3 linked regions of the Lonchura striata genome follow. The protein of the gene in region 1 interacts with the protein of each later gene in a biochemical or structural test. Links are inferred from orthologs where the notes say so. Each region holds a gene or a part of one and is shown on either strand. Other genes may lie near its edges.

Evidence for each region.
Region 2: the proteins of SDCBP (region 1) and SDC2 form a complex in vitro, tested with the Homo sapiens proteins (3 studies listed by BioGRID and IntAct, with this or other methods). The link is inferred for Lonchura striata from reciprocal best matches to the Homo sapiens genes SDCBP and SDC2.
Region 3: the proteins of SDCBP (region 1) and FZD7 interact in a biophysical measurement, tested with the Homo sapiens proteins (2 studies listed by IntAct, with this or other methods). The link is inferred for Lonchura striata from reciprocal best matches to the Homo sapiens genes SDCBP and FZD7.

Annotation. Positions count from the first base shown.
Region 1 is NC_134603.1:38,158,968-38,168,705, reverse strand, and holds the start of SDCBP (syntenin-1), read left to right. Parts: upstream 1-4,824; 5' UTR 4,825-4,980; intron 4,981-9,347; 5' UTR 9,348-9,378; coding exon 9,379-9,429; intron 9,430-9,738. UniProt on the Homo sapiens protein: Multifunctional adapter protein involved in diverse array of functions including trafficking of transmembrane proteins, neuro and immunomodulation, exosome biogenesis, and tumorigenesis.
Region 2 is NC_134603.1:23,336,995-23,346,732, reverse strand, and holds the start of SDC2 (syndecan-2), read left to right. Parts: upstream 1-3,907; 5' UTR 3,908-4,018; coding exon 4,019-4,078; intron 4,079-9,738. UniProt on the Homo sapiens protein: Cell surface proteoglycan which regulates dendritic arbor morphogenesis.
Region 3 is NC_134610.1:26,828,198-26,837,935, reverse strand, and holds FZD7 (frizzled-7), read left to right. Parts: upstream 1-4,190; 5' UTR 4,191-4,438; coding exon 4,439-6,160; 3' UTR 6,161-8,101; downstream 8,102-9,738. UniProt on the Homo sapiens protein: Receptor for Wnt proteins.

The sequences.
Region 1 (9,738 bases):
AGCTCTCCTGCAGTGACAAATAACTCCTCTCTCCAGACTCTCCACAAAGCAATTCCTGTTTTGTTCCAGAGCAGTTTCTCATTTTCTATTTGCCCTCCGGAGGCTCTAGATCTAATCTACAGAAGTGTTGGGCACACACAATCATGACTGAAGTCAGGAAGGTGGGGATTTACCAAAATATCTCCTGTATTATCACAAACATGAGACATGAGTTTGTAGAACTGAGAGCTCAGAATAATGCACTATGAGCATATTCATTTTGAGTGCCTGAATTCCTTGTCTGTACCCCAGGAATTACAACAGAAAATAAATAAGCAACTGTTTGCACAGCACTTAGAGCATTACTTAGAAAGGATGATGACAACATTAGTATTTCCATCTTTAGAGTGGAGTTGGAATAGTAGACAGGAAATTGGGCATGAACTGCCAACTGAACAGTGGAAAATCACTGACTGAATGCCATCAACCCTGTGGGTGTTATATTATAATGCTCTTACAAGTAATAAATAATAATATGAAAGTAATGTTATAATGCCCTTAAAAGGCAAGATCAAAAACATATGAACAAGGAATGGGGAAAAAAGTTACCTAGCAGTATCTAATATTATGTAAATTACTGTACTCCTGTAATGTAATCTCTTCTGCATAATTGGGTTTCATGCTGAAAATTTTGTTTTCACATGGAAAGTATAAAAATTCTGGTACATGAAGTCTAGAGGTACACCTCAGATGCAATGCAGCCCCACAGTTAATTAAGCTGCTTTGTGGTAAATTTGTTCTAGAAATACAAACATGTTTGGACACTCCTTTCACCTTACTTAGAGAAGGATCCGTTAAGTACCCCAGGTATGGAACCACCTTAATACAATTACTCTGTTTCCAGTGCTGACAGGGTGCTATCTTGCACAATTTGTACATGTTTTGAGTGACCAATTGTGGAATGGGTGGAGACCTTCCTTACAAACAAAAGCACAACCTGTTTTCAGCTTCAAAGGAGAAATGTGAATTTTTCAGTAATAATTATGTATTAATTTTGTTAAGATTTTTTCAACAGCTAAGACTGATACTGATCAGTGGGTGGTTTCTGTTATTCTTTGACAGTTGGCACTAGACCAGCAAAAAACCCACAAAGAGTACACTGATGATGGAAAACTATCACACTTGCCCGTAGGTATTCTAATTTAAACAAGCAAAGTCTAATAACTTGGCTATTTGTTCCACTTCTTTCAAACAATAGATGCACATACCTCAGGAACTAATCTAGAGCCATTTATTTGGGCAATTCTCCTCTGACTCCTTAGAGCTCCCCAGTATCAGTGGAGTTTTTAGAAAGACATGGCCTGGCCCTTCTTCTGCTTCCCTCCAAACTCCAGGACACAGAAGTATCTCCCTTGCCCCAAGTGCTCAGTTCATGTCACAGAGTGACTGAGGCACATGGCACCCCCTTCCAAAATTTGGTTTCCCTGGGAAAGAAACGAGATTAGACAAGTGGCTGGAATTGTCTTTGGTCTGTGTGTTTAAAGGATGAGGACCCTGAGACATGCTGAACTGCATAGATTAGACATACCCATTTTTCAGCAATTATCTTTCTGGTTTATTATGTTTTGTTCCTATATTTAAATGAACAAAGCTTTGTTTTTTTTGAGAAATTGAGAAAGCTTTTCAGTACAAAAGTATACTCTCTCTCCCAATAGCTGTTCTTAAGCAAGAAGAAACAGCCTTATGCAGTTTTTCAAAATCTTTATTGAAATCATGTTTCACAATACATTGGGAGATGAGGATGATTCACTTTTGATACCAAGGTGGATGTCCTGCAGGTGGACATGGTGCCAGAGCTACTGCCCATAACTTGGACCATGTTTGCTCTTAGATTATATACCTGCAATAGGGCACACATGGCATGCTCAAAAAGTAATAAACCACATGGAACCAACTATTTGGGCTAGGACATCATGATAAAGAAAATGAGCATCCATTACAGTCTCATGGGTAAGATCAGGGAGGGTGCACTGACAGTGCAAGTCAGATACCCACTGGAAAAAGCTCTGCCCTGGATTACAGCAGGCTATCTTGAAAGACCACAAAGAGATAAAGTAATGCAGAAAACAGCAAATAACAACCTAGCTTTCTAGAGAGAAGAAAGCTCTTTGCAATGAGAGGAGCATTCAACATCAAACTAAAAGAAAACACTATCCTTCAGTTGTCAGCACTGGCACCCAGCAGGATTGCACTGGAAAACTGTCAGTCACACACCTGCAATTTCCATGCTACATGAATACCACAGTGTCTTTGTTCTTCAGGGTGGGTCCAGGCCTTTACTACACTGACCTCATTTCAGGATGAAGAGTGGAACACTTTGAGCACAGTTTTAAAACTTTCACTGCACTTATGTTAAAATCTCCTTTGGCTACATAGAAAATTTAGCACTTCTAAAGACGTAATCATTGGTCATTATTAAACTAGAGGTAGATTCCCTCCCTTCCTCCTGGCCCAGAAGACTTGTAATACAGGATTTTTGTGAACTTATACCCTAAACCTAAGATTTCACTTCACATATATTTAATGACCCATAGCTGCATGACTCAGCAGCCAATGGTTCAGGTAGTGGCATTCAGGAAGGTTCCAGGTCTGGCTGAATATTGGATATAGAAACAGGAGCCTCCTGAGCAGCCAGAGAGTTGCTGTTCCTCTGTATTCAGCACTGCTGCAGTTACTACCCCAGCCCCTGTGGTGCTCACCAAAGATGCTGGCAGCTGGAGAGAATCAAGAACTGGAAAATACACTGCAACAACAACAGAAAAATATACATTGTAACAAAGTTTCTGTTTAGCTTAACTAAGGCTATTATTGTGCTCAAATGATGAAAAAGCCTGTTAGTGCCAGAGTGGATCAAAACAACCTTCCCTCTCATTCCCATTTCTCCTGCTTCCTCCTTTCTCCTGTTTCCAGCACACACTCCCTTGCTCTGGCTCATGCTTGTGCTTGAGAGAGCCTTTTATTGCCAGTATGGCTCACTAACCAGCAGAAAAGCATCCATGTTTTTTGGTGGAGAAATGAGTTAAGCTTTCTCTCAGAAGAGCTCAGCAACTGCTGGAACTGGCTGAGGGCAGGAGAAAGAAACCGTAGGTGGGAGCAGACCTCCTGCCTAGGTGCTGGAAGACTGCTCAATACCTCTACTGAATGCTCTTCCTAGGTGAAGAGAAGCTCTAGGGCACTCAGCACATTTAATTGTCTGTGTGATGAACAATATTTGACAACAGGCAAAGAATTGTAATGAAGAAGGGAAGACCAAAAATTGATGCTAGATTAGTTCATACTCTAAATAAGGCAAAGGCAGGTAATTATGGTAATTGATTTATGAAAACCTCTTTCCGAGCTTGTTCTGGGATTTCTCTGTTGCTGGTACACTTTACATCATGGTTTCTGCAGGGAAGCCTCTCCAGGATAAAAGCTCTGCTTCTGATGCCTGCCCGTGGGAGAAGGCTCAGGCAGGTGCTGGACCGTGGGACAGGTGATGTGGTCCACTCTGGCTCTGATGTGTCACAGCTTGCCCATCCATGGCAGACATGCAGAACAAGGCAGACACGAGGCCGTTAGTGGAGTGTGCTTTATTACAGCAGAAAAAAAAAAAAGGAAAATGAGCAGAAAATCATACTTTTTCTCCATGAGGACAGCAACTATCAACTAATAAAGGCACACAAATGAGTCTAAGGCCCTACAAAAACAAAGAAATCTCAGGGGGAGATTGATCACTCTCTACAGTTCCATGATTGGAAGTTACGCTGAAGTGAAGGCCAATCTCTCCTGCTGTCGTTGCAGTGAGGGGACCAGAGCAAATGGCCTTAAACTAAAACAGGGAAGACTCAGACACTTATATATATATATATATATTTTTTTTTTTTTTTCACTGTACAAGTGGTCAGGCACTGGAATGGGTTTGAGAGGAATAGTGGATTTGTCTTTACAAACAAGCTGTTGGTCTGCTAGTAGATAAAACTAGCACTGAGAGATAAAAAAAAAACAATGGGAAGGATTCCACTGACTGATGAATGGAAAAGGATATTTGCTTTTACCAATAAGCTCTAGGTTTGCTGATAAATGAAATTAGACATTGAAAAATGAAAGAAACAAAGGGAAAAACCCCTAAATCCCGTAAGAATTAAAAATTAAAAGGGAGGGTTATACATTAGAGGGAAATCTTTGGTATCAGGCGTATCGGGAACTCTGTACCTCTCAAGTACCTCAGCCAATGGGGAAAGAGAGAAGGGAAATGTGGCCGGGAAAATAGTATAAAAAAGGAGGCTGCATCAACCAAAAATTTGAGATACCCCTGGGGAATGTCCCATGACCTCTCCCTTTATTCGAATAACGTAAATGGACTCCTCTGTCTCCTTTTTGGACATAAAGCTCTGATGTTTGTGGATTAGTTTTCCTGACAAGTTGTTCAGGGAGGTGGTGGAATCAGCATCCCTGGAGGTGGTTAAGAGGCGTCTGGATCTGGCGCTGGGTGATGTGGTCGACTGGTTACAGCGATAGTGCCAGGTAGACGGATGGTCTGGATGATGTTGAAGATCTCTTCCAACTTTGATGATTCCAAGATTCTTCGTGAAACAAGCGGCCAGAGGGGAGCGGGGCACCGCCGCCCCGCAGCCGCGGGCAGCCAAACCCGGCCCGGGCGGCCGCGACCCCTTCCAACTTTGATGATTCCAAGATTCTTCGTGAAACAAGCGGCCAGAGGGGAGCGGGACACCGCCGCCCCGCAGCCGCGGGCAGCCAAACCCGGCCCGGGCGGCCGCGACCCCTTCCCCGCCGCCGCCCGGGCATGCGCGGGGCCGGGCCAGTTCCGCGCCGCCCCGCTCCCTTCGCAGCGGCGCTGCCGGCATCCGGGGGAGCCGCTGCGGCATCCAGGGGAGCCGCCCCCGCGCCCCTCTCCGTGCTGCGAGCCCCGGCGGACGGCAGCCAGCACCCGCTGGGCCGGAGGTGAGCGAGGGGCCGGGCGGGTCCGCTCCCCGCCGCCCTTTGTGCGCTCCGCGGGCGGGCATGGCGGGGCGGGGAGGGGGCGCCGGCGGCCCGGCCGTGCCGCTGCGAGGGCGGTGTGGGCGCCGCTCCAGCCGCGGGGCCGCCGCTCCCCGCAGCCGGCCGGGGCAAGGCTTCAGCCGGGCGCGGGGCGCTGCCGGCCCCGGACGGGGAGAGCAGGGGGATGAGGCCGCCCTGTGCGACCGTCCGTGCGCGGCCCTCGCCTTTGGAGCGCCTTCTGGGCCCTCGCTGGGGCTCCGCAGCGCCCGCGGGCTCGGGCGTTTGTCTCAATTCTCTTTGACGGGCCGAGAGGTGCTGCGGCGGTGCAGTGACACCACGGGCCTTCTCAGGCAGGCCAGCCCTGCTTCAGGGCTGAAATGGAGGCAGCAGGTTTCGGAGCTGAGCGCATAATGAGGGCACTTGCTCCCAGGCTAATTAGATATGTATCAGAAGGCGAATGCTGAGTTACTAATGGAGAACGTGTCTTACGAAACCGCTCCTCGGTTCGTGATGTCTCAGCCTGACTGACCTTCGGGAAGTGTTGTCCTCGGTCTGCTTTAAACATGAATTTCGGGGCTCATAAGCTTCTAATTTTTGGAAGTGGGAACCAATGTTCCATTATAGTTGCCAACATTGTTACCTGCTGTACTTTTTCCACGGGCTACAGGAGGAAAACATACGGGGAGGGGGGGTGGCGGGGTTTTGTTTTGGTTTGTTTGCCCCCTCCCACAGTTTTGGCTGCTGGTATTTTAAAAAACAGCAGTCACTACAGGCTGGCCAGATTGGGGTTTAGCAGGGCCATCCTGTGTTGGCGTTCATACTTTCCGACCTGAAGAATGAGTCGGGAAGCCGTCTCCTCCCAGGAAGGCCACCGAAAGCAGTTCGGGATCACTCCCACCTTCGAGACTTCCTGCTGGCAGGCTCAGGGTGTCACGAGTGACGCCTTTCATGCTTCTCCGATCCGTGCCCCGGTACTTCCCTCTGGCAAACAGGATCTCCTTAGTGGGACGTGCTGGCAGGAGGGCCCGACTTTCCAGCCAAGTGTACTGGAGAGGGGGGCGAGGTCTTTACTGCCAGGTTTTGTGGGTCGCCAGCTGAGTTACAGCCCATGCCCATCCTTTTGTTTTCATTTCTACGTCCCTAAACGCTTGGTCTCCTCACAGTATGTGCAAGTGTGGAAATGACTGGGGAAAGTGATTCTGATGTTGGTGTAGATTTTTAAGAGAGAAGAGGAGGTTGTAGTGACTCATGATTTGTGGTATCCACTCCCTAATGCTTAAAGCCGTTACAGCACCAGCTGAAATTCATGTTTATACTATGAAGAACACTGGACAGAAGTCGTGGACAAGTTCTTCCTGCAATTAAGGGTGGTCCCTGATGGTGTCAATTTTTACTTAGAAATCTTTTTTAAACTAAATATAATATTTTTGTGGCTCTCACACTATCTAACATAGGGTATCTGTGTTACCATATGCAAAGTTATGAGCTCACTGAATGCAATTACAGTGGTGACTGCTACTCTAGCTAATTTAGTTGGAAAACCAAAACCAGGAACTGGTGAGTTTATGATGGGGGAGCCACCCCAGCAGAACCTTGGTGACAAACACTTGGGTTTGTTAACCCTTTGCTGGGGAGGGGAGGCTGAGGGGGTTGTCAAGGGGCAGGATAAACTTCTGGAGTGTTCTCTAATGTAATCTGAACAGTAGTATAAGTTTAGCTTTGCTAATGCTTTTCTACAGAAAGCACTGTGCTCCTCTTTATAAACTGGTGGAAGGTTGACTGACGCTGTCTGTGACAAGTTACTGTTTGCAGAGACTGATCTGTGGAGGAGAAATAAAGCTGGCCAGGGTGCTCTATGGAAGTTGGTCACTGGGGCAGGGGACCTGGCAGTCTCTGTGCTGATCTCTGGAGCTCTGTGGATACTAGGATCACCACCTGCAAAGTGCTGCTGTTGCATCCCTCGTCGCCCTGCCATGGGGTGACTCCTTGGGAACACACTGTCCTTGGCCTGCCCTCTTTTGCTGCCCGCTGCCAAGGTTGTGCTGACTTTGAACATGTGCCAGTGCTGGGACCAGCACCTGAATCTACCAGGGCTGCTGTAGCACAGAAGGAGATGCCGAGTTTGATGCTGTGTGTACCTTGACTTGTGTGAGTGGCAGAATGGAGGATCCAGGAACCACTTACCTGACCAAGAGCTTTGGCTTATGTTTGCTATTAGCCATTCTGGATGAGCAAAAGCATTTCATAGTTTCAGGTCGATGCTGGATTAAAACAGAACTTCAAACTGACCTTAAATGCATGTGTTTAATTGATAGTTTTCAGGCTTTAACTATGCTTGGTAGACTTGCAACAGTTAATCAAAAAAGTCAAGGCAATTAATTATTGTAATATAACAGACCATGTGTTTACAGTTTAGATCTCTGGCACATTTAGAGCATGCTTTTTTTAAGTTTTAATTGCAGTTTGACATGATGCTGGAGCTATTGGGCACTGCTGAACAAACATAAAAGCTGTTAATGAATTTAGTGTAATATGAAGAGATATCTATTGTGTTACTGCAGTATCACATTATGCATCTTTGTGTGTGGTGTTCATTTAGAAATGGACTTTGTATCTGCACTTAAAGAAGCAATAGCTCAGGGATTTATGTGATGGTCACTTTCAGTCTCAAATTTTTGCTAAATTGCTACTTTAAGAAGAACCTCTTTTCTTTCAATGAGAAAATGAATCCCCAAACCAAAAACTTTAATAAAACTTATGTATTAACAATGTTCTCAATACCTTCTGTGACTTGAAAAACTGTATCACATTTTATTGTCTTCTGGTTATGTCCCTCTCCATCCCTCTCACTAAAATGTTCCCATATACTGATGTGGAATGTTTTTTTGTGGGTTTCAAAAGTTCAGCTGATCTCAGTGAGAGTGTGAGTTAAGGAGCTCTGGAAAAATGGGATTTCCAGAAGTCTCAGGTGACTGGTTCTAGGAGAGCTGGATGTTGGCATGGTGCCTTAGAATATCATGTGAAGTGTTTTTTTTTGTTTGTTTGTTTGTTTGTTTTGTTTGTTTTGTTTTTTGTTTTTTTGTGTTTTTTTTTTTGGTTTTGCTTAGGGTTTGGGGTTTTTTTTTCCCTTTTTTTTTTTTTTTTTTTTTTTTTTTTTTTTTTTATTACTTCCTGATAAGCTGTCACAGGGGCTCTCTGAACATCACATGACAGCCAGCCTGGAATCTCTGTGTTTTGAAACTCACCACTGACTGAATCATCTTAGTTTATACAGGTCTCTTGTTGCAATTAATGTGTTGCAAATGGAGATGGGAAGCCAGGTCTCTCTAGTGGCTTCTTGTCAGATGTCATTACTTAGTTCCAGCTGAAAACTGAGCACCACAAAATTGCTTGCTGATTCCCCCTGCCCTAGCAGGATGGGAGGAGAGAATCAGAAGAGTAAAGTGAGAAGTCATGGGTTGATGTAATCAGATAGTTTAATGTGACAGAAAAGGAAGAAAAGAATTTAAATAGTTGGTACATATAAAATGAGTGATGCACATTGCCACTGTTCACCACATGCTGACCAATGCCCGTGCCTTTGGCCAGGTTTCCCCCCAGTTTATATACTGAGCATGATGCCACATGGTATCCCTTTGGCCAGTTTGGGTCAGCTCTCCTGGCTGTGTCCCATCTCAGCTCTTTGTGCCTCTCCAGCCTTCTCACTGGTAGGGCATGAGAAACTGAAAAGCCCTTGACTTAATTGTTGCTAAAAGGAGTTTATACTAAAACAATTAGTGTGTTATTAATATTCTCATTCTAAATCCAAAACATGGCATTAGGAAGAACATTAGCTCTATCCCAGCCAAAAGCAGGTCAGTGGAATATTAGAAGTATTGAAAGTGTTTAAATATTTTAGACAATAGAGTGGAAGCTTCCACAGTTGAATGTAAAATACTGTCCCTGTTGGGACAAGAGTGATTAGGTTTTCCCTTTTAACCCTTATCCTAATTGCATCTTGGCCTCCTAAAGTCTTTCTTTACTTCCTGTGAAGTGTTTTTCTCTGTGTAAGTTTTCTCTTCATTGAGACCTAAACTTTGACAGTGCTAAGTATGTTAAATAAAGCCTATTAGCCAAAGGCTGCTATTGATAACAGATTAAATGGGTAGTCTTAATGGAATTCATCTGTAGTGCCAGATATCTTTACTGCTGACTGGCAGGTCACAGAATACTTGTTTAACACTTAGTCTGGTTAATTGATTTAAAATAAAAAAATTGAAGGGGTTAAACTCAGTAACTATCTGAAAGCTAATCCTGTTGTTTGTTTGCTCTTCCATTTGATTTTTTTCTAGTCTGCCCTCTGCCCAGTAGGACTTCATCAAAATGTCTCTCTATCCTTCCCTAGAAGATCTGAAGGTGGACAAAGTTATTCAGGTATGGTGGACTTAAAAAAAGATGAGTTTTGATGACAATAATGTATCTGATATTTAATCCAGGAAAGGGGAGACGTATTGTAGTTGAGAACTTGTTTTACCATCTCACTCTGAAAGGGAAAAGACAACCTGTTTACTTTGTAGCTTGATCTAATATGATTAATGCTTATTTTACCACCTGGATATATTTATTTTGCTTTATCTATTCATCGTGTTAATTTGTCTTTAATGTGTTTGGGTTTTTTGAAGTATAGATACATGGTCTTAAGTAGACAAATATAGTCAGTCTTTTCACATACTTCAGCTCTGA
Region 2 (9,738 bases), about 15 Mb from region 1:
CTGTTAAAAACTGATGCAGAAAAGAATCTTTCATGGATGTGTTACCAAAAATTGCTGGCACCTCTCCTGTGGTTCAATGACCCCATGAGTACCAGTCCCATTCTACCACATCCCTGAATTCAGATTATACTAAAGAAATGAACACAACTGCATTTTAAAATATTACATAGAAGAATATTACTTTAAAATATTTTTATAGAAGAGATGAGCAGTTCTGTTGTTCTTAAGTTAGAAGCATAAAATTTAGGAGTTTGGGGATGTGGTAATAAACCTCTTTAAACTGTCCTACCAACACATTTTACCAAGTTTTTTTCAGGTCATTGTCAGTGTGGCTTCAAACAGATTTAAGGTCAGCTGTATTTTTCCTTTTCTGTCTCTCTTTGAATAATTTGAGAAAATTTACCATCTCTTATGATCTTTGAATGTGATGCCAATGCTACCCTGTCTGGACACAAATACAACCAGTCAAATACAACAAATACAACAAATCAGCCATTTACATAACGAACAGCTCTGGTCAACACCACCTTGTCACCCACTGCAGTGTGAGGCCCAGGGCCGTGCTTTGGGTCAAACGTTCTCAACCACAACTTCTATTACCAAACAAATCTTAATGGAGAAATGGCATGATTAGGAACTCTCCTCCCCATGTAGATCTCTTTCCTTAGTGCTGCTGGTTGTGCAAGTCACCTGCAGGATTGGCCATGAAAAAATGAATGCTTGGGAAGCACTCAGAAAATTGTGATACACATTCATCCTCAATTGGTGCCTTGGCAGCCATAGGCTGAAAACTTATTCCCAAGATTTCCCAACTTACTTTTTGCACAGTTCCCATGTATTTCTAACTATGACTCTTCCCTACAATTCCAGTAACTCTCTCCTTGGGAGAGACTGAAAACTGTATTTTCAAATTTGTTGGACATCTGAGTCTTCTGTAGTTGATAGCCCCACAGCACACGCTATACATGAGATCTTCTTGCATCCTTTCACCATATAACATATTTTGGGGGAAAAAAATGGCCTTTGTTGAAGTTTGTCCCTTAATCTCACCTGAATCCCACTCCTGCCTGGTTTGACTCAATGTTGGTGTGGTGACTGGGTGGCTTGTGCCCTGCAGGGCTGGAGGGACCCAGGGTGACACAAAGGCAACACGGTGAACACTGCCTGACAGTCTGTGTAAGAAATGCCCAGGCCTGCAGCTACTTCTCCATGCGACCACATGTGGGCTCTTAATGCTGTATGGTGCTCTCAGATAGAAGACTCAGAAGAGTGGGGAGGGAGTAAGCAAAATACAGGACAATATTTTGTTATGTCTGTGAACTACAAGGGTTAATAGCTTACTATTTTTTAATTCTCATGCTCATTTCTATATTTTCAAATAATCTGTCTGGCTTCTGGTCTTTAGTTCTGCTCCTTCTAGCATTAATGTGTTGTGTCTATCTTCATATTTGGCATCAGACATCATCCCCACAGAGGCTTAAGGATCTGGAGGTTTTGCAGGTCGTAGCCCCAGCTCCTTCAAGAACACTGCCCATAAGTACACTGGTGGACCACGAGGAGCCCACTTGTTGCCATCATCTATGCCTAAGGAAGGCCTTCTCTTTGCTTGTTGCAGATGGTATTTCGATCTGTGATAGATTCTGCCAAGTATGTAAAACCCTGATAATCATGCATTTTTACATAGAAATAAAGCTGAGCTTGGTTTGTAAGTTAAAAGACATGCCTGTTAAAGAATGCTAAAAAAAATGTCCAAGAATGCTAAAATAAATACCCTCATGTAGTAAATCACCTGCCCTTTGGTGTCTGGTGACCCTTAGGATGCTTCCCATATGCAGTGTCTTTGTCTTCACATTTGCTCTTTTATGTTATTTGTTTCAAAAGTGATGTTGTTTTCCTACTGTTAAGGAATGCTTTTTCTGTTTCTTCTTTGCAAGCTGCAACCTCTTCATCTCTCCCCTCCCTGCACACTGGGCTGCCTGTAAGACCCCATGAGATCCTATGTGAGATTTTGCCCAAATGGAGTTTTGCTCACTTTGCTTCACTGTACTTCACTCACCCACATCTAACAATGCTCAAATTGTTGCTTAGTCGACTTGAAATCTGGCTGCCTACAAAGGAAGAGGATACACAGAATTAGGTCTTAAGTATTCGCAACATACTTTGAAGGAGAAAGATTATATTAAGCAATCTGTTTAATATAAGGAACACATTAAACAATCTGTGTGTGTGACGCCAACAAGGAAAAGACCACTGAAAATCTGGTAGGATTGCAGTGGGGAATGCAGCCTAAAAATCAATGACATGGCATGTCCAGAAGGTGGATCTAGAAGTAGCAAGTGTGGTAACTGCCGAGAGGTATCACGTTCCTGGGAGCGGGTCGCACACAGTAAAAGCAGTCCAGGCATGGCCAGCCCCTCTCTGAGGAGAAGGGTCCTGCTGTTTCCCAGCACAGACTCAGCCACTGCGCCCACACTGCACAGGGATCGCTAGGGTTGTGTTTGCCTGGGAGAGGCTGGGAAAGTGATGAGTGGGGTGAGACACTGCTTGTGCCAGATTATTTTATTTTCTTACGTGGCACGCCTATTTTGACAGGAAGGCAACCAGATTGGCAAAGGCCGGCAGTTGGGATCTCAACACAACCCGTTGGCCAAAGTTCTTCACAGAGCACAGGGTAAGCAAAGTGAAGGGCATGGAAAAACATCTTCCCGGGAAAAACATCTCCCCAGGGTTTCTCCCTGGGCTTTTGTTGCCCTCACCGGGACCCAGGTCCTCTGAGAGAGATGGATTTTGCTCAAACAAAAGAGACCATTATGGTCCTTGTGACCATTTGATTCAGGCTATAAAACACTGTTTGCTACCTTCTGACTTAAATCGCCAGTCGAGTTTGCAAGTGAGACTGATATATTTTGCTTTCCTGGTTATTGCTCCTTTCCCATGTCCAATGACTGATATCATGTGAGTACACGTTCAGTGGTGGAAACGTGCTGGCATATGCGAGGGGATCGGGCTGAGGCTCCTGAGCTCTGCAAAAGCACCATTCTCCCCAGTTGAGAAATACCATGGACTAGTTGTAGCAAGACTTCTTGTTTTGGCTTCTGGAGCACACATTCTTGGTGCTGTCAATTCTTGTAATATTTATTTTGAAGACATAGCTTCTGGATCCATGTAACTAGCTACAAATCGCAGCCCTTTCTGACTTCGCCGCCCCTCACCCTTAAAAGTTTCTAGTATTCTTGCTGGGGGCGGAAACGCTAAAAAAAAATGAAACCCGAGGCAAAAAGCTAAGGGATTCACAATGAGCTGGCATTTTCGGGATAGCCCCGCTTCCCGTGATTTTTGACCCCTCCATTTTGCTTTTTTCCTGACACTTGAAGCTGCCACCGAGGCTTCCCGAGGAGGGTGGCGCGGAGCAGCGGTGCGAACCCCGGCAGCACAGCGCTAAAAACACGCGGCCGGATTTCTCTTGCTTAGGGGGAGCCTTTCCACGTCCCCGATTTTATACGGGGCCAGCCTTCCCTTAGTCGGTCCAGTCGGTCCGCGGCGCTGCTCATGTTTTCCACTGGGGCGGGGGAAAAGAACGACAGAGGGGAGACGAGGGCGGAGGAGAGAGAGGAGGAGGAGGGAGGGGGGGGAAAGTTGCTTGAATTTGCGAGGGGCGAGAGCCGGCGGTGGCGGCGCGCTGCTTCTTTCCACTGGCTGGGGGAGCTGCCAATCTGTGTTGTAATCCTGCAGGAATTTCTGCGGGGTTTAACTGGGAGCCGCGGCGCCGCCGCCGCGCACTCGGGGCGGAGGGAGGGCGGCGGAGCCGGCAGCGCGCAGCCTGCAGCCCGCGCGCCCCAGCGCCGCGAGCACCGGGCCCGCCGGAGCGGAGCGCGGAGCCCCCGGCAGGAGCGCGGCGGGGACCCGGGGCGCCACCGGCCCTGCCCCGCGCCCCTCGGGCGCTGCCGAGCGCCGCCGGCCCCCGGTTTCTCCTTTGTGCCCGGCCCCCGGCGGCCGCCGCGCCGGCTCCGCGGGAATAATGCGGGGCGTGTGGCTGGCGCTCACCGTCAGCTTCGTGGCCTGCGCCTCCGGGCAGCCGGTGAGTGCCGGGGCAGAGGGGAGGGGACGGGACGGGACGAGGGCGGCCGCCTCGGCTGCGGCAGCCAAGCGCGGGGCGCGCAGCCCGAGGCTTGCCCCGTTGCATCGCCGTCCGCGGGGCGCTGGGCTGGCTCGGGGGGGCATCTGTTGCTAGTTGAGCGGTCTGCAAATGGCAGGCACCATTCCGTCCCACCCACCAAAAAAAGAATGAGAGACACCCCCTTCCCTCCTCCCAAAAAAGAAAAAACCCCAACCCCCCCCCCAAAAAAAAACCCAAGAAACAACAAAACCCAGAACACCCTCACGAAGCCGAGAGGACCACCCTGCCGCAGCGGAGCACCGTGCCGCCCTCCAGCGAACCTCGGCCGAAGTTTGCCGCGGTGACCCAGCCGCCAGCCGGCCCCGGAGCCCCCCCGGTGCCTCTCTCCCTGCCTCTCCGGAGGAGGGGCGGCCGCGGGGCCGCGGCGCGGGGCTGGGTCCGGCAGCGGGGACTTGAAGCCCGTCCCGCAGCAGCGCCGGGAGCCGCCGGGCCGCCCCGTGTCCGAGCGAGCGCCCGGGGACATCGCCGCCTCCCCGGCTTCGCGGGCCGTGCGGCGGGGGCGTCCCTTGCAAAATCCACTCCTCACGGCCCGTGGCTAAAAAGAGAAAAAAAGGCAGCAAACCCTGCTGCGCTGCTCAGGACCTCCCAGACCCCTCGGGCAGATCGCCTTGCGGGCTTCCCGGCCAGCCGCCGGTCCCGGCTCCGTGGAGCCCGAGCCTACTGCGCACCCGGCCGCCCTTCCCCGTGTAGCTCGCGAGCTGCTCGGGATAATGCTGCTGTTTACACTTTTTCCGTGCCACGAGTGTGTTCGCTAACCGGGCCCTGTGCTTAATGCAATTAGCTCTGTTGCTGGGATTTGTACCTCTGGGAAAGCCTCTCTCTGGCGAACCTCCCACCCTTTCGTGGCAGGAGCCGGCGAGGACCGGCCAGAGGGTTTTGGTCTTTTCCATCTGTGGATCTGAGCTTGTCTTGAGGGAAGGAGTATGCACAATGACAATAATGCAGTGTTTGGGCAAATATTAGGAAATTATAAACTGAGGTTTCAATATGAAATAAAAAGAAAGAAAAAGACAATTTAATCCAATTAAAATGAGCCGCTTCACTGAACTAAATAACGTCACTAGCTTGGGTTAACTTTTGAAGTTCTCTAGCTGTTGTATAAATTAGCCAAGTCACAGCCTTCATAAAATCTGGCTCACCATTAGGGATTTCTAAGGGTACAATGGCAAAACACTTTCTTAAAGACTGATTAAAAAAGGGTTGGGTAGAACACTGACCTTTGTTTCCGGTAAGTATAACTGTGCTGCAGAAACACCCTTGCCTAATGAGCTACAATATCCTTTAATTTTATAGAAATGCTGTTAGTACGAAGTTCTCTGACGGTGGAGTAGCTATTAAACTGCCACAGTAATTAGCAGAGTATTAAGTTTGATGGGTTTTTGCCTTAGGATGAACAGACTGTGGCAGTGTGAGGTGGGTTGTTGGGGCACATCCCCGTGCGGTGTGGTTCAGGGGGCAGTGGGGAGAGCGAGGTGGGGGGAACCTGCCTGGCTGTGCTGCAGCGTCCTTACTGCTGCCAGAAAGTTGTGGAGGGGCTGAAAAAGTAAAAGGAGGTTGGTCTTTTTCCTTTTCTTTCATCTCCCTTCTTTTTCCTTTAACTGCACCTGGCAGCAGCTTCATGGTCCCTTAAGATAGGATTTTGTAGACCAGTCTCTGGGAAAAGACAGTCTGTGTTCTCTGCAGAAGTCTGTCCTTGTCACAAGAGGAATTCTATATGGATGCTTTAAAAAACCCTCCCAGCTCTCCAGACCACTGTCAAATGGATTTAGCTCTAAATTTCTTCATGTTTTTAGATTCTACTATTTATTATCATTATTTAGACAAAACTATAAGGTAAAAATCTTGTTTCTGATGAAGTTAATTCCATGAGTCTTCTGAGCAGAGGAGCAGGAAGCTGCAGGAGATTTTGTTTCTTAAAGCAATGAATTCCCTGTGTTTGGTCCGCATCACCAACCAACACTTTTATTGGGGTGGGCCAAGGAGATGTTAGCACTGTGTTAAGAATGTCCTGGAAGTGAGACCTGCCGCCGAAGGACGACGGGAGTGGTTTGTCGGTGCTGGGTGCGTGCTCTGTGCGCTGTGTGGGCTGTCGTGCCGCAGCTGTGCTCTGCCGTGCCATGCCAGCTCCCTCGGGGAGCAGCTGCTTTGGGACAGGGCTGAGATGGAGAGCGAGAGAGGGAGCCCAACCTGCTAGTGCCAGCCTGCACATGGTGGCAAGTGTTACCGCACCAAAGCTGGTGGATTGCAGCTGGGGCTTGAGGAGTGGTTTGCTGCCATCAGCGCAGTGTGCAGTGAGATGTCAGATTACAGTGGGTTCTGTTAACCTATGTGGGTCCCAAAGGACATGGGGCATACACCCAGGCTTGGCTGAATGGCAAAAAATGTGTTTTCTAGCTACCTTGAAAGTTTCTTCGTTTGCTTATAAGAGAGGGAAAGACAGTGACATGAAACTGTTGGAAAGAAAAAGAAAACTGAGTGAGAGGCCTGATGCACCTTTTAAAAGGTTGAGCCCCTGAGCCCTGATGATATTGGGAGCCAGCTTTTGCTGATTTTAATAGCACCAGAGAGCAGTGCCAAGTATCCAGCTGTAGTTGTCAGGTCCCATTCAGAAGAGGCTGATAAATGTTTCCGTTTCGTTCTAGTTTGCAGCAGTGGGACGAATGGTTTTCCAGAGCTTGTGTGACAGTCAGATCCTCTCTGCATGCCCAAGTGCACATTGAGAAACTTTGCTGGCTAGCAGGTTGTGTTGCATACTGCAGTGTTACGGTGCTGCTCTTCTCACAGAAGGTTGAGTCCATCTCTCCCCGGGAAGCTTTTGGAGTCTGGAGACTGCTTCACATCATCCATACATGCATGTGGGGCTAGATTTGGGACTTTCAGTGAAACAGAGCATTGGGGCATCACCTGAGTGACCTTTCGGTTTCTTGTGTAAGCATATGACTGCTGAGTTGTTGGCATAAATATAATCATTGGAAGATGATCCAAGGGTGATACTTGGTATATTTTTCAGAAGTATATAGTATTTGAGAATCGTAATGCTGTAGTTTTCCTACCTTTGTTTCTAATGGTTACTTTGGTTTTGGAATTTGGAAAATTGATAGTGTGTTGGAGAGAAGGACTGTTTTTTTGAAAAAGGCAGTTATATTCAGAGGTAGTAAGTAGTGGAAAAAAAGGGCTGAAGAGATAGCTGGTATATGATAGATTTATATGCTGTATGTGTCTCTCCTATCTGTCTTAAATTTGCTTTGTCAAATAAGTTCCAGTGAAGGAAGGAAGTCTTTTCAGTCTTTATTTCTACCCACCTCCAATTCACATGTACCTTTTCTTCTCACTGTAGAATTAATAACTGTTCATCCATTGCTTTTTGTGGTTTGGTAATACCTGGAATCTGCTATGTCTGCTTCCCTTGCTCTGACTGAACTTCTGGGTTCTCCCTGCACTGCCATGCACTGGAAATTCTGGGATTTGCTACCAGTCTTGGGTGTTCTCAGGAGCCACTTTTTGGAAATCGGTTTCTGTCCCAGGTTAGATTATAATTTAAAAATTAAAGAACAGATGAATCTTGACCCCAGATCAAACACTGAAGTTCCTTCTTTTAATATCTTAGCCCTGAGGTTTGCATTAGAACTGATTTAGTATTGAGGCCTGAAGTGCAGAGATGTTTTCTCTGCATTTTTTCCTAGATCCTTATCAAGGAAGTATATGAGAGTATCATCTTCAGGAGCAAGTCAGGACAAATATCTTAGGATTTGAAGTTGGGTGCTGGTATTGTGGTTCTTGAGCAGATAACACCTCTGTGGAAGGTTTGAGGTAGTTACTATAGCTAATGGAATAAAGATGGTAGACTTCGGAGAGTGTGCATTAAGTTTGGAATTTGCTTGGAAATTGGATGGATCTAAGTTTCTGTAGTCCTAAATTAAGTGTAATTGCAGGATGACAAGATAAAGGACTAATTTTTTGACTAGTAGAGGTGCAGGTTATGAGAAGTCACATGTCAAACATGCAGCCATGATCTAATGCCTCTGGGAGGGTGGGGTGGATGATGGAGAGCTGCCTGCCATCCTTGGTGGGGAATGTGGCATTTTGGCAGTGCTTCTTGAGCTTGGAGAAGACCCTACTGAGGAGCCAGTCATTTGCAGAGTTCTCCATTGGCACTGCTCTTTGTGGCAACTTGTCTTTATAAAATGTCAAACATAGGCATGTGGATGGCATTTATTCATTACATTTTCTCACCAAATTGACTTTTGCCATTGAGCAATTTAAACATCTTGCTTATGGTAGAGAATTGCAGGCTTTAGTAAGGCTCAATGGCTGAACAAAGAGCTCTTGTCTAGTTATGAAGAAGTGCTCTTTTGTCTTATGAATAGATTTGACAGACTATGATTTTTAACATAAATGTTGTGTTTGAGATTGGCAAGCTTATTTGAGGCCTCGTGTAACACCCTATTTGAATCTGAATCATAAAGATGCCCTCTGTGCTGCTGCATTTGAGAGAGGATGCACAAGTCATGAGCAAGAGATTTGGTCCACATTCAAGTCACTTCGCCGTCGGTGCTGTAGGAAGCATGAGAAAATTACTGGAGGCTCTTCTGTGAACAGCTTGTTGTTTGGTTATCTTCAGTTCAAGCTTACAAGATGATAATAAATTGCTATCTATAATTTTTCAGGACTAGTAATTTATTCATAGATTATATGACACTCTTCAATGATTTGGGAACATTATTTCTCCTGCTCACATTGAAGTATAATTTGCAAGCTCTGGAGTACAGATTGCATTGGTGTTTGACCCTCTAATAATGACAGTTCTCTGTATGTATGTTGTTTTCTTGATTAGCTCAGCCCTGGGGGATGCTTTTAAAAGCATACTAGATATTTAGGCAGAAAAACAGAATTCATGTAATCCTCAGAAGTACTGGAATACTGATTGCACTGGGAGAAAATGTAGCATTTAACAGCCATTTGCAACAAGTGCATTTGCGCTGAGCAAATTATTTTTGTTGATGTCTCAAGCAGGAGTTTTATTTAAAGTGAAATAATGACTAATAGGGTGGTGATGAATCTGCAGAAATTGGCCTTGTCCGTAGATAGGCTATTAGAGTGTAGTATATATAAGCTCTGCTTAACTAAAGCCTGAGCTGGCTGCTCCATCTTAAATCACTATTTTTAGTTTATATATAAACAACTTCTTCAGAAATCTCCCTTCTAAGCTAAATTGTTTTGTTCCCAAGGTGAATTGATTTGGGGCAGTTAAAATAAAAACCTGTTTGGCTGTGTTTGAGTTGTGAGGGTGAAGATAAATACATTGTACTTTTATTAATAGTAAGGAGACAAAGAGACTTACAGAAGGTCAAATAGCCTGTGGTATACACAGGCACAGAATCAAAATGTTCAGAAGCCAGCATTGTGATTAACAACCAGAATATATTGTCTATATTTAAATATTATGTTGTCAGACATCTTTTGTCAGACATGGTTTGATTAGCCATAATAAAGCATAATTTTCTCTAGAGGTGCTTCCACACTAATGGAAGTCACTTGTCACCTTTGAGATCAATGTGAGG
Region 3 (9,738 bases), on another chromosome or scaffold:
CTATCAGACTGAAAGAAATGCAAGCAGATATACTACTGTGAACTTATTTTATTTCTAATTATGCAAATAATTATGTAAAATAGACAAATGCATAATTTTCCCCCAGGCTCCAGGCACTTCTCCACTAAGCTTTAGGGAGTGCAAATTTTGATGTTCTTAGCTCAATAGCCTGTCTGATCATGTAAGATTGTATATAAGCATGCTTCAAAATGTAGAGGTTAAAAGTGTCATAAAAGTTATTTACTAAAAGTAACTGGGAAAATCTCACAGCTCAGATGGTGGCACCGGGACTTTGGCAGTGCTGGTTAGCAGGAGGTCAACTGAGGTGCGGTCCAGCAAGTTTCTGTGGGTGGAAAGGACAGGGGGGAAGCAATGGCCTTTGTTCTTCTGAGGGCAGAGAGGACTCAAAGCCTTGCAACAGGTAGCCTGAAAATGTTCTCCCTTAGGCACACAAAATAAGTGGTGGGGCCAGGAGGAGGTGTTTTATTTTGATTTCCCTCCCCCCCATGAGAAGAGTTTTCTATCAGATGGGATAGGAAACAAGGAAAATTATATTGGCACCATCTCAGAAAACTTTAAAAGGGCAGGAAAAGACATAATGTAGGGATGCCACTCCTCACTTTGACTTAGCTTGGAAGTTGAAGTGGATTTATTTTTAAATGAGTAAAAAGACAGATAATTTTTTGTTCCTAACAATTCCTCCCTATACACAGTCTAGTCAGACAGCTCCAGAGCTGGTATCAACACTGGAGACTAAATTTATTCTGGAATCTAGGACTAGGCAGGATTTTGCTTGTGAAGCTTTACTGCTGGCAGACCATGGTCTAAGTGTATTTAGACCATTAGCAGTTAGAAGATTTTTAGAGAAAACTTTTTGAACCCTCTGTGGTTGCAATAGACAACTTGTCAGATGCTACAAAGTCTTGTGCAGTGTGTTTGTTCTGGGTGACTGATAACCTGTCTGCTGTGCTTACTGTGCTGATGAGGATTCCTCCTGTTGTGAGGAAATTTAAGTCATTTTGCAGGCTGCCGTTTGAACTGTAGCTGATGGTACTTAGAGAGTTTCTGGATTTTTTGGACTAACCTGTGTTCCAGAATCATGAATTTTGCCCTTTCCTTTCCTTTCCTTTCCTTTCCTTTCCTTTCCTTTCCTTTCCTTTCCTTTCCTTTCCTTTCCTTTCCTTTCCTTTCCTTTCCTTTCCTTTCCTTTCCTTTCCTTTCCTTTCCTTTCCTTTCCTTTCCTTTCCTTTCCTTTCCTTTCCTTTCCTTTCCTTTCCTTTCCTTTCCTTTCCTTTCCTTTCCTTTCCTTCTCTCCCTTCTCTTTATTGTCCTCTGAAAGCTGTCAGGATGCTTTAGACTGATATAAGAGTCTGGGGTTTTCTTATACACAATGTGCCATTTTGAGGCAACTGCCATTGCCTCTCTCTGTGATTGTTTCCCATTTCCCCATGGGTCTAAACAGAAAAAAGATCATGGAATTTGGTAACATATCCAAGAGACTTCATCCATCTTAGTAAATCCTGTTGCACATTCCTGAATGTTGCATATTCCTGACATCTGGGATGACCTAGCAGCATCATCCTATCTGATAAATTTACTTTCTTCTCTCCCTAAGAAATAATCTAGGACATAATCCTTCTTCCTTTTGGCCTACCTTTTCACTTTTTTCCCCTTTTGCTTCACTTTTGATTCTACATTCTACATTTTCACAGCATGTATCAGAGATCCCAGTTATCTTTTTGTTCATTCCATGGTTTGGATGAATGACTTTAACAAATGGGACCAGTAGAAAACTGGGGGAGCCACTGATGCTGTTTGCCCTGTCTTGTAAACAAAAGTCCAGTTAAAGCCTTGCCTTTGATTTGACTGACCTTACTCTGAATAGTTCTTGTCACTGTATCCCCATTACTGAGAGGGAGTTTCTTGCAATAGAATTTACTAGCTCTGAACTTGTTTCTTTACATACAGAAATCAGAATGAGGAATCCATGGGGCAGAAAGTTTGATGGTTTTTTATCTTCTCTGCATTGTCATTCCCTGCCAGTGAAACATATCATCCAATGTTTTTCACAGAGAATATCACAAAGTGTTTTGCAGATGAAGACAGTCATATAAGCCAAAGGGAAAAAGAGAGGCTGTAAGGTGATTATTACAGATTGGGGGGTAGAAGGGATAAGGAGGAACTCTAACCCACAAAAACCTCCAAAAAAACTGTGGAAAGAATAATTTTATTGAAAGCTACCAGTGGCCAAAAATCAAACAACAGAGTAGACAAATTCATGTAAATATATCCCATGTGTGGTTATTTAGGTGAAGAGTATAACAAAAATCTTCTTAGTCAATTTGGGTAGAAAAGCAAGGAATTTTGACAAAAAGCCTTAAAATTTTGAAAAAGTGAAGGTCCTCTAAGGCACTCTTAAACAGCTATAACTGAGAAAGTAGAAGACATTTCTTTTCCAGAAGAAACTGTTGCAGCCATGACTAGTTAGTCCTTCCCATATGTATTTTTTTATATGCACAGTATTATCTTTAAAAATATCTCCATTAAGAGGAGTATGTTTATTTTAGCAAGCCTGTTTATAACTGTCAAATTCTCTTAAGAAATGTAACAAAAGCTGCAGCACCATGGTCTTACTGGCATGAGGACACATTGTTCCTGAACAGTAGAGGATATGGAAAACATTTGTCCAACAATTGCAGTTGGAGCTCCCTGAGCCAAACCCTGCTCTCTTTAACTGCCCTGGAGGATGGTATGGATTGGTGTCTTTCCTTAGCTGCTACAGAAGCACAGTCCTGAGCTAAGGAGTAAAAGTAAGAATTTGAGTACTGTATTTAGGAGGACCTTTGTCCTCAAAGGGAATGATGGGGTAAGTTGAGTAATACTTGTTTGGAGCCTATCGGAGAGCACAAACTCTCATGGGTCAGTGAAGCAGAAGCAGGCCTTGCTGCAGAGCTTTTATCAAGCACAGCCCTTCTGTGCTGCCAAAGACATGCTCTGCTTGCACAGAGGCTGGATGGTCCCAGCTCTCTGCTTTGGCAGTGCACCCCAAAACACAGCTATGCTGCAAACCCCACATTCCTGTCCTTACCAAATGCATGCTGGTGTCTATTTCTTGAATCCGCTTAGCCTAGCAGGCCAGTAACAGGGGTCTCCCCACCTATGCCATTTTCTCTCCTGCAGGCAGGGTACTTTCACAGAGGAACTCCTGTTTTTTCACTGTTTAATTGAGTCTCTTAAGGAATCGCAGCAGTTCAAATGGGGATTTGAAATTTCTCCTCTTTGCTTAGGTAACACTGGACGTTTCAAAAAAAGCTGCCTTCCCCCAGCTAGGGCTTAGATCTGCATGAATAAAGCGTTTATTCTGCCAGCAAAAAGCAACGGTCATGCTGCGATAACAAATCGAACCCCCCACGCTGGAGAGGAGATGGCACACAGACACGAACATCTCAACTACGCAATAGGATCGTTCTGCAAATGTACTCGGGCGCTGCGTTTGGAGGTTTTTTCCCTTACTCTATATTTTTTTTTCCTTCCTTTTTAATAACTCCGGGCACAGGCAGCTGTTGGCATTTTCAAAGCCTGCTCAGAAAGCAGCCAGTTAATTTTAGCTTGCTCGGGCCACCCTGAGCGAGCTGCCCCCCCAAACCCCCGCCTTCCCGGCTGTGCCGGGCAGCGCGGGGGGTGGGGACCGCGGGCGGCTCCTCCCGGCCCGGCCCGGCGGGGATGGGAAAAAGTTGTTCCCAACTTTTTTTCCCCCTGGCGGGAGCTCCTCCCCTCCCCTCCCCTCCCCCAGCGCGGGCCCGCCCCCACGCGCGGATTGGCGGGCGGGCGCCGCGGGCCCCGCCCCCGGCGCGGTTTGTGAATGGGGCCGGCGGCGGGGGCGGGGCCCGCGCGGAGCTGCGCCTTTTTTGTGTGCCGGCGCGGCCGCGGGCCCGGAGCCGCGGAGCGGGCGGTGGCGGCGGGGCCGCGGGCGGAGCGAAACGGAACGAGCTGAACCGGGAGGCGCGCGGTTACCTCGGACGCACAGCCCGCAGCGGTGTCCATCGGGAGCGGAGCCCAACCGAGCCGCGGGGAGGATCGCGCAGTAATTGGATTTTGAAAGTTATTTAAGCCCTGAAGTAAAATATACGGCTCAGCCGGGCGCGGTAATAATCCATTTAGCCGTAACCTAAATCCCCGGGACCGTGTACTCGCGCAGGGAGCAGTGCCTCCGCCTCGCCGCCGCCACGGGACCCTGCGCGGAGCTGGCCAGAGCGTCGCTGGGCTACACGCGCGTCTCCTGTTTCGCTGCTACCGCCGCCGCCGCTGCTGCCTTCTCCGGGGAGAGCAGCTCCGGAAACTTTCGCCTAGAGTAGCGCCGCTACCGCTCTGTGAGCGCCGCCGCGTCGGAGCCGAGGAAAAAAGTCGTGGAGGTCCGGCGCGGAGCCGCGTTCCAGCAATGCAGGCTGGAGGAGAATGCGGCGGAGCGGCTGCCGCCGGCTGCCCCTTGCTGGGGCTGGCCGCGCTGCTGGCTGCCCTGCTGGGGACCCCCGCGGGTGCCACGGCACAGCAGTACCACGGCGAGAAGGGCATCTCAGTGCCGGACCACGGTTTCTGCCAGCCCATCTCCATCCCTCTCTGCACGGATATCGCCTACAACCAGACCATCCTGCCCAACCTGCTGGGCCACACCAACCAGGAGGACGCAGGGCTGGAGGTGCACCAGTTCTACCCGCTGGTCAAGGTGCAGTGCTCGCCCGAGCTGAAGTTCTTCCTCTGCTCCATGTACGCGCCGGTCTGCACCGTGCTGGAGCAGGCCATCCCACCCTGCCGCTCCCTCTGCGAGCGGGCCCGTCAGGGCTGCGAGGCCCTCATGAACAAGTTCGGCTTCCAGTGGCCAGAGCGGCTTCGCTGCGAGAACTTCCCTGTTCACGGTGCGGGTGAGATCTGCGTGGGGCAGAACACGTCGGATGCCCCACCAGGACCTGGTGGTGCGGCGGGTCGGGGGGTCACTGCCCACCCCACAGCTGGCTACCTCCCTGACTTTCTTACCCCACCGCAGCCACCCTCTGGCTTCTCCTTCTCTTGTCCGCGGCAGCTCAAAGTGCCCTCTTACTTGGGCTACCGGTTCCTGGGGGAGCGAGACTGTGGAGCCCCCTGTGAGCCAGCCCGGCCCAATGGGCTCATGTACTTCAAGGAGGCAGAAGTGCGATTTGCCCGGCTGTGGGTGGGCGTGTGGTCTGTGCTTTGCTGTGCCTCCACCCTCTTCACCGTACTTACCTACCTGGTAGACATGCGTCGTTTCAGCTACCCGGAGAGGCCCATCATCTTCCTCTCGGGCTGCTACTTCATGGTCGCCGTGGCCTACGCAGCAGGTTTTTTGCTGGAGGAGCGGGTCGTGTGTCTAGAGCGCTTCTCTGAGGATGGTTACCGCACTGTGGCCCAAGGCACCAAGAAAGAAGGCTGCACCATCCTCTTCATGATCCTTTACTTCTTCGGTATGGCCAGCTCCATCTGGTGGGTCATCCTGTCCCTCACCTGGTTCCTGGCTGCTGGCATGAAGTGGGGTCATGAGGCCATTGAGGCCAACTCCCAGTATTTTCATCTGGCTGCCTGGGCTGTGCCTGCTGTCAAAACCATCACCATCTTAGCCATGGGGCAGGTGGATGGGGATGTACTCAGTGGGGTTTGTTATGTAGGTATCTATAGTGTGGACTCGCTGAGGGGCTTTGTGCTGGCACCGTTGTTTGTGTATCTCTTCATTGGTACTTCCTTCTTGCTGGCTGGCTTTGTGTCCTTGTTTCGCATCCGCACCATCATGAAGCATGATGGCACCAAGACGGAGAAACTGGAGAAGCTGATGGTGCGCATTGGTGTCTTCAGCGTCCTTTACACAGTGCCTGCCACCATTGTCTTGGCGTGTTACTTCTACGAGCAGGCCTTCCGTGGCACCTGGGAGAAGACATGGCTCCTCCAGACCTGCAAAACGTATGCTGTGCCCTGTCCCAGCCACTTTGCCCCTATGAGCCCAGACTTCACTGTCTTCATGATCAAGTACCTCATGACCATGATTGTTGGGATCACGACTGGCTTCTGGATTTGGTCTGGCAAAACCCTTCAGTCCTGGCGACGCTTCTACCACAGACTCAGTACCGGCAGCAAAGGCGAGACGGCGGTATGAGACCCCCCCTGTCCCCTCTGGCACACACACTCTCACACAAGCATACACGCAGAGGAGACGGATACTCAGCATGGGAGGGCAATGGTTCCCTGAAGAGGGAGGAAGGGAGGCTTTTCCAAACTTTTTCTTCCTCACAGAAAATTTGAAAAAAAAAAAAATCATACCATAAAGGATCAGTCAAACCACGTCCAGTGGTGCTTATGAGCAGCTAAGTGGGAGAGGACAGAAAAAGAGGCAACTGCTGGGACAGGAGTCCTTCACGCAGAAGTCTCCTTACTTCTCTCCTGCTGCTCCTCGAGGAAGAGAAATTCCAACCCAACTAAAATCATCCTGCCTTCCTTTGGACAAGAGAGAGGGGAAGCCAGATCTGTTGAGCCACCCCTGCCAAGAAGTAGCCAAAAGCTCTTTGAATTGCCGGGGCCAAACTGCAGCATGGGCAGGCTAACTCCCGAGCCTGAGCTGGCTGCCTGCTCCTTCCAGCTCGGCAGAGCCATCACGTGAGTACCGCACAGCCGGCTACAGCCCGATCGTGTGCTGGGGAGATGCCTCTGTTCTATCAGCTCACAAGTTCCTTTTTACCTCAGCGATACCTCTAATTGTTGTAATTGTTTTTAAGTAAAAAAATTGGCTCTCAGTCTGTTGTTCTTGCTGCTGTGGGGAAGGAGGGGGTTGCTATTCCACACCCTGAAAAGAAATGACTTGTTGCTTTTCAGCAGAAGGCTTTTCCCCCTTGCCTTTGTTCTAGGAGACAAAGGGGGAAACAAAAGTGTTTTCTATGTAGAAAGGCATAAGCATGGGATCGGTTTTTATGGGCAAACTAACAAAAAGAAGTCGTTGAGGTTCACCCTTGGATGTGAGAAGCTCACAGAAATAAACATTCCTTTTATGAAAAAAGGAGGAGGCAGGATGTTTTCCTACCGTTCAATATGGGTCACTTTTCTAAGCTGAAGGAAATGCAAGATTTAGAGGGCAAGAAGAGCTTACCTGAGAGCACCTGCCAAAACAAGAGCCACTAAAATACGTAATGTAAAGATAGTATTTTTTTCTTTCCTTCCCATAAACCTGCTTTCTCTCCTGCTTTGCAGTGAGCTCACTGCAGAAAAAAAATCAATACGCAGCCGGATTCTGGGGACAGGAGGAATCGTTTTGGCTCACGATGGACCCTTTGCCTGCTCCTCATATTCCCTGAGCTGCATGGCAATGATTCTTGGTGCAGGTGGGGGGCTGGGGTTGGGGTTTAAAACCAAGTAGTTACTGCAAGTGAGGAGCCTCCTCATTTTGGCTAAAACACAGCTGTTTGAGTTTCCAGTGATCAGTCTTTGAAGGAAAAGCATTCAAAAATTTTATCATCAAATGCATTGTTTTCTTTTTGAAATGTGGCAGATTTTTCTATTCTGAAAATTTTTATGTTGACTTGTTCATATTTTATTTTTTGCATACTACTTTACCTTTATATTCACTGAAGGGTTGTTTTTATAAGTATATGTGTGTGTGTATATTCTTGCCTAAGGACAAAATAGGACATTCTGGATTTTTGGCAAGTCTCCACCCTATAGCTGCTCTTCATGTTTTTTGGGGGGGAAGTGTCTAGAATTAAACTTTAAAAAGAAAAAACCTGTCCAGGGTGAGGGCGCAGACTACTGCTGTCTGAGGGTGTACCAGTAGTCTGAGCATGAGGAATGGGCCCATCAGCTAAATCCTTCAGTAGCTCTGATGTCAGACTTGCAGGGCTTGGTTTGTCTTTTTTAATGTGCACGTGGAAGAAAAAAAAAAACAAAACAAAAAACAAGTGTGTGAGACAAGTGCAGTATGTATATTTTGTAAATCTCATTTTTGTAAGAAAATATGTATTTATGTTTTTACTTGATTTTTTTTGAAGGTCTGTATGAGGCCCTGCTTCACCCCATGTACAGATCACTAAATAAATAATTTTTAATACAAGGGCTCTAATGATGTTTTTTTTCCATCTTTGAATACTTGGCAGGTTTTAGAATGGGGGGAAGCTCTGAAAGTCGTGTCTTCTCCCCCACTTCATTATGGATAATGCAAGAGACTTTTGGGTGAATGTAGGCTGGAAACTCAGCTGTGACTTGAAACTACCAGCCCCTCACAATAGGAGAGCACATTTTGAGACAGCCGGTTTCAAATGTCTGCCCTCACTTGAGGTACTTGCATCCTAGCCAAGTTTTCTTCCACTCTCTGCTTCTTGCTGAGGGCAAGCTGATAAACCAATTTCTTTATCTAGAAAATAAGGATAATGCTCTCTTCCCATTCCAGAGACTTTGAGAACTGGAGGGTGCTATGAGGGCTGTAAATTAGGTTCTTCCTTTGACGGGTGGAGTGTAATAGGGAAACGCTAAGGACTAGGTTCCTTTTTAATGGCTTTCAGCGGGCAGTATCATGAACTAGTGCTTTTTTTCCCATAGCACCTTTACTCTCTGCAGTTTTATTCAAGTGAATTTTACTTTAATTTTAATAGCTAGCCTGAAGCCTACATTGTTTCTTACCACAGTCATCTGAAAGCTTCAGCGGAATGCTCTATTTCATTTAATTTTTTAAACTGAAATGAATATTTACATCTCAAGCTGTGTTGCTAAAGTCATGGAAAGTGCCGCAACAAACAGAATTGTACACACATGAAATGATACTTTACAGCATTTCTTTCACAAGGATTGCAGGCTACCGTCTATATTCATCACACTTCCTGTACTTTCAGTTATGCCAATACTAAAATTTAAGTTATAGAACAGAGATAGATCTAAGATGCCTTAGCTAGATGCCATCATAGTAGCTGTGGTTGTACTGCAACATCGTTTCATTTACTAAGCATAGTATGTAATAGTTCCACTTTGAGGGCTCTATTTTATTTGGACGCTGTGCTCTTGAACTTAACCTTTTACTTTTACAGTGTGTGAACTACTGATTCAAAAGTTCTTTTAAGAGCTAGCCCCATTCATGCTGTCTTTCTGGAAGAGCCATATCTTTTATTTGAAAACACCTCTTGCTGCTCCCCAGAAATGCTCACTTGTCAAGTTTCCTTTTTGAAAAGACTTTTGCATTCCTGCCAGTCTGGCTGCTTCAAACTGCTCCATGACATGAGCTTGCTGATCATTTCTGAGGGGGGTCTCATTCCACTCACTGAGGAAACCTGAACCTTTCTCTAAACATTTCCTCCCATTAATCCAGAGTGATGGAAGGGCTGGAACAGCCTGTGCTGTGAAGGACTGGGAGCAGTGGTGTGACTGACACCCCTGTGCTGTGCACCACAGCTGCATCACTAAACATGCAATCAATCCTTCCTGCATCACGGACAGCTACAGTGCCATCCATGCTGGGGGCCTGTCCCACAGCTCTCCACTGGCCACCCAGCCCCGCTTGCTGCATGAGAAACCATTCACTAAAACTTTTACATTAATTTATAAATAGCAATAATATTTTGTAAAAATAAACAAAAAAGTAAAAAAACCCTAATTAACAGGGCAAAAACCCCTAATTTAAACTACCAATAAATAAAAAAACATTAATACTGAAGTAAAAAAACTACTTACAAAATAAGTGATTGTTCACATGTGATTGCT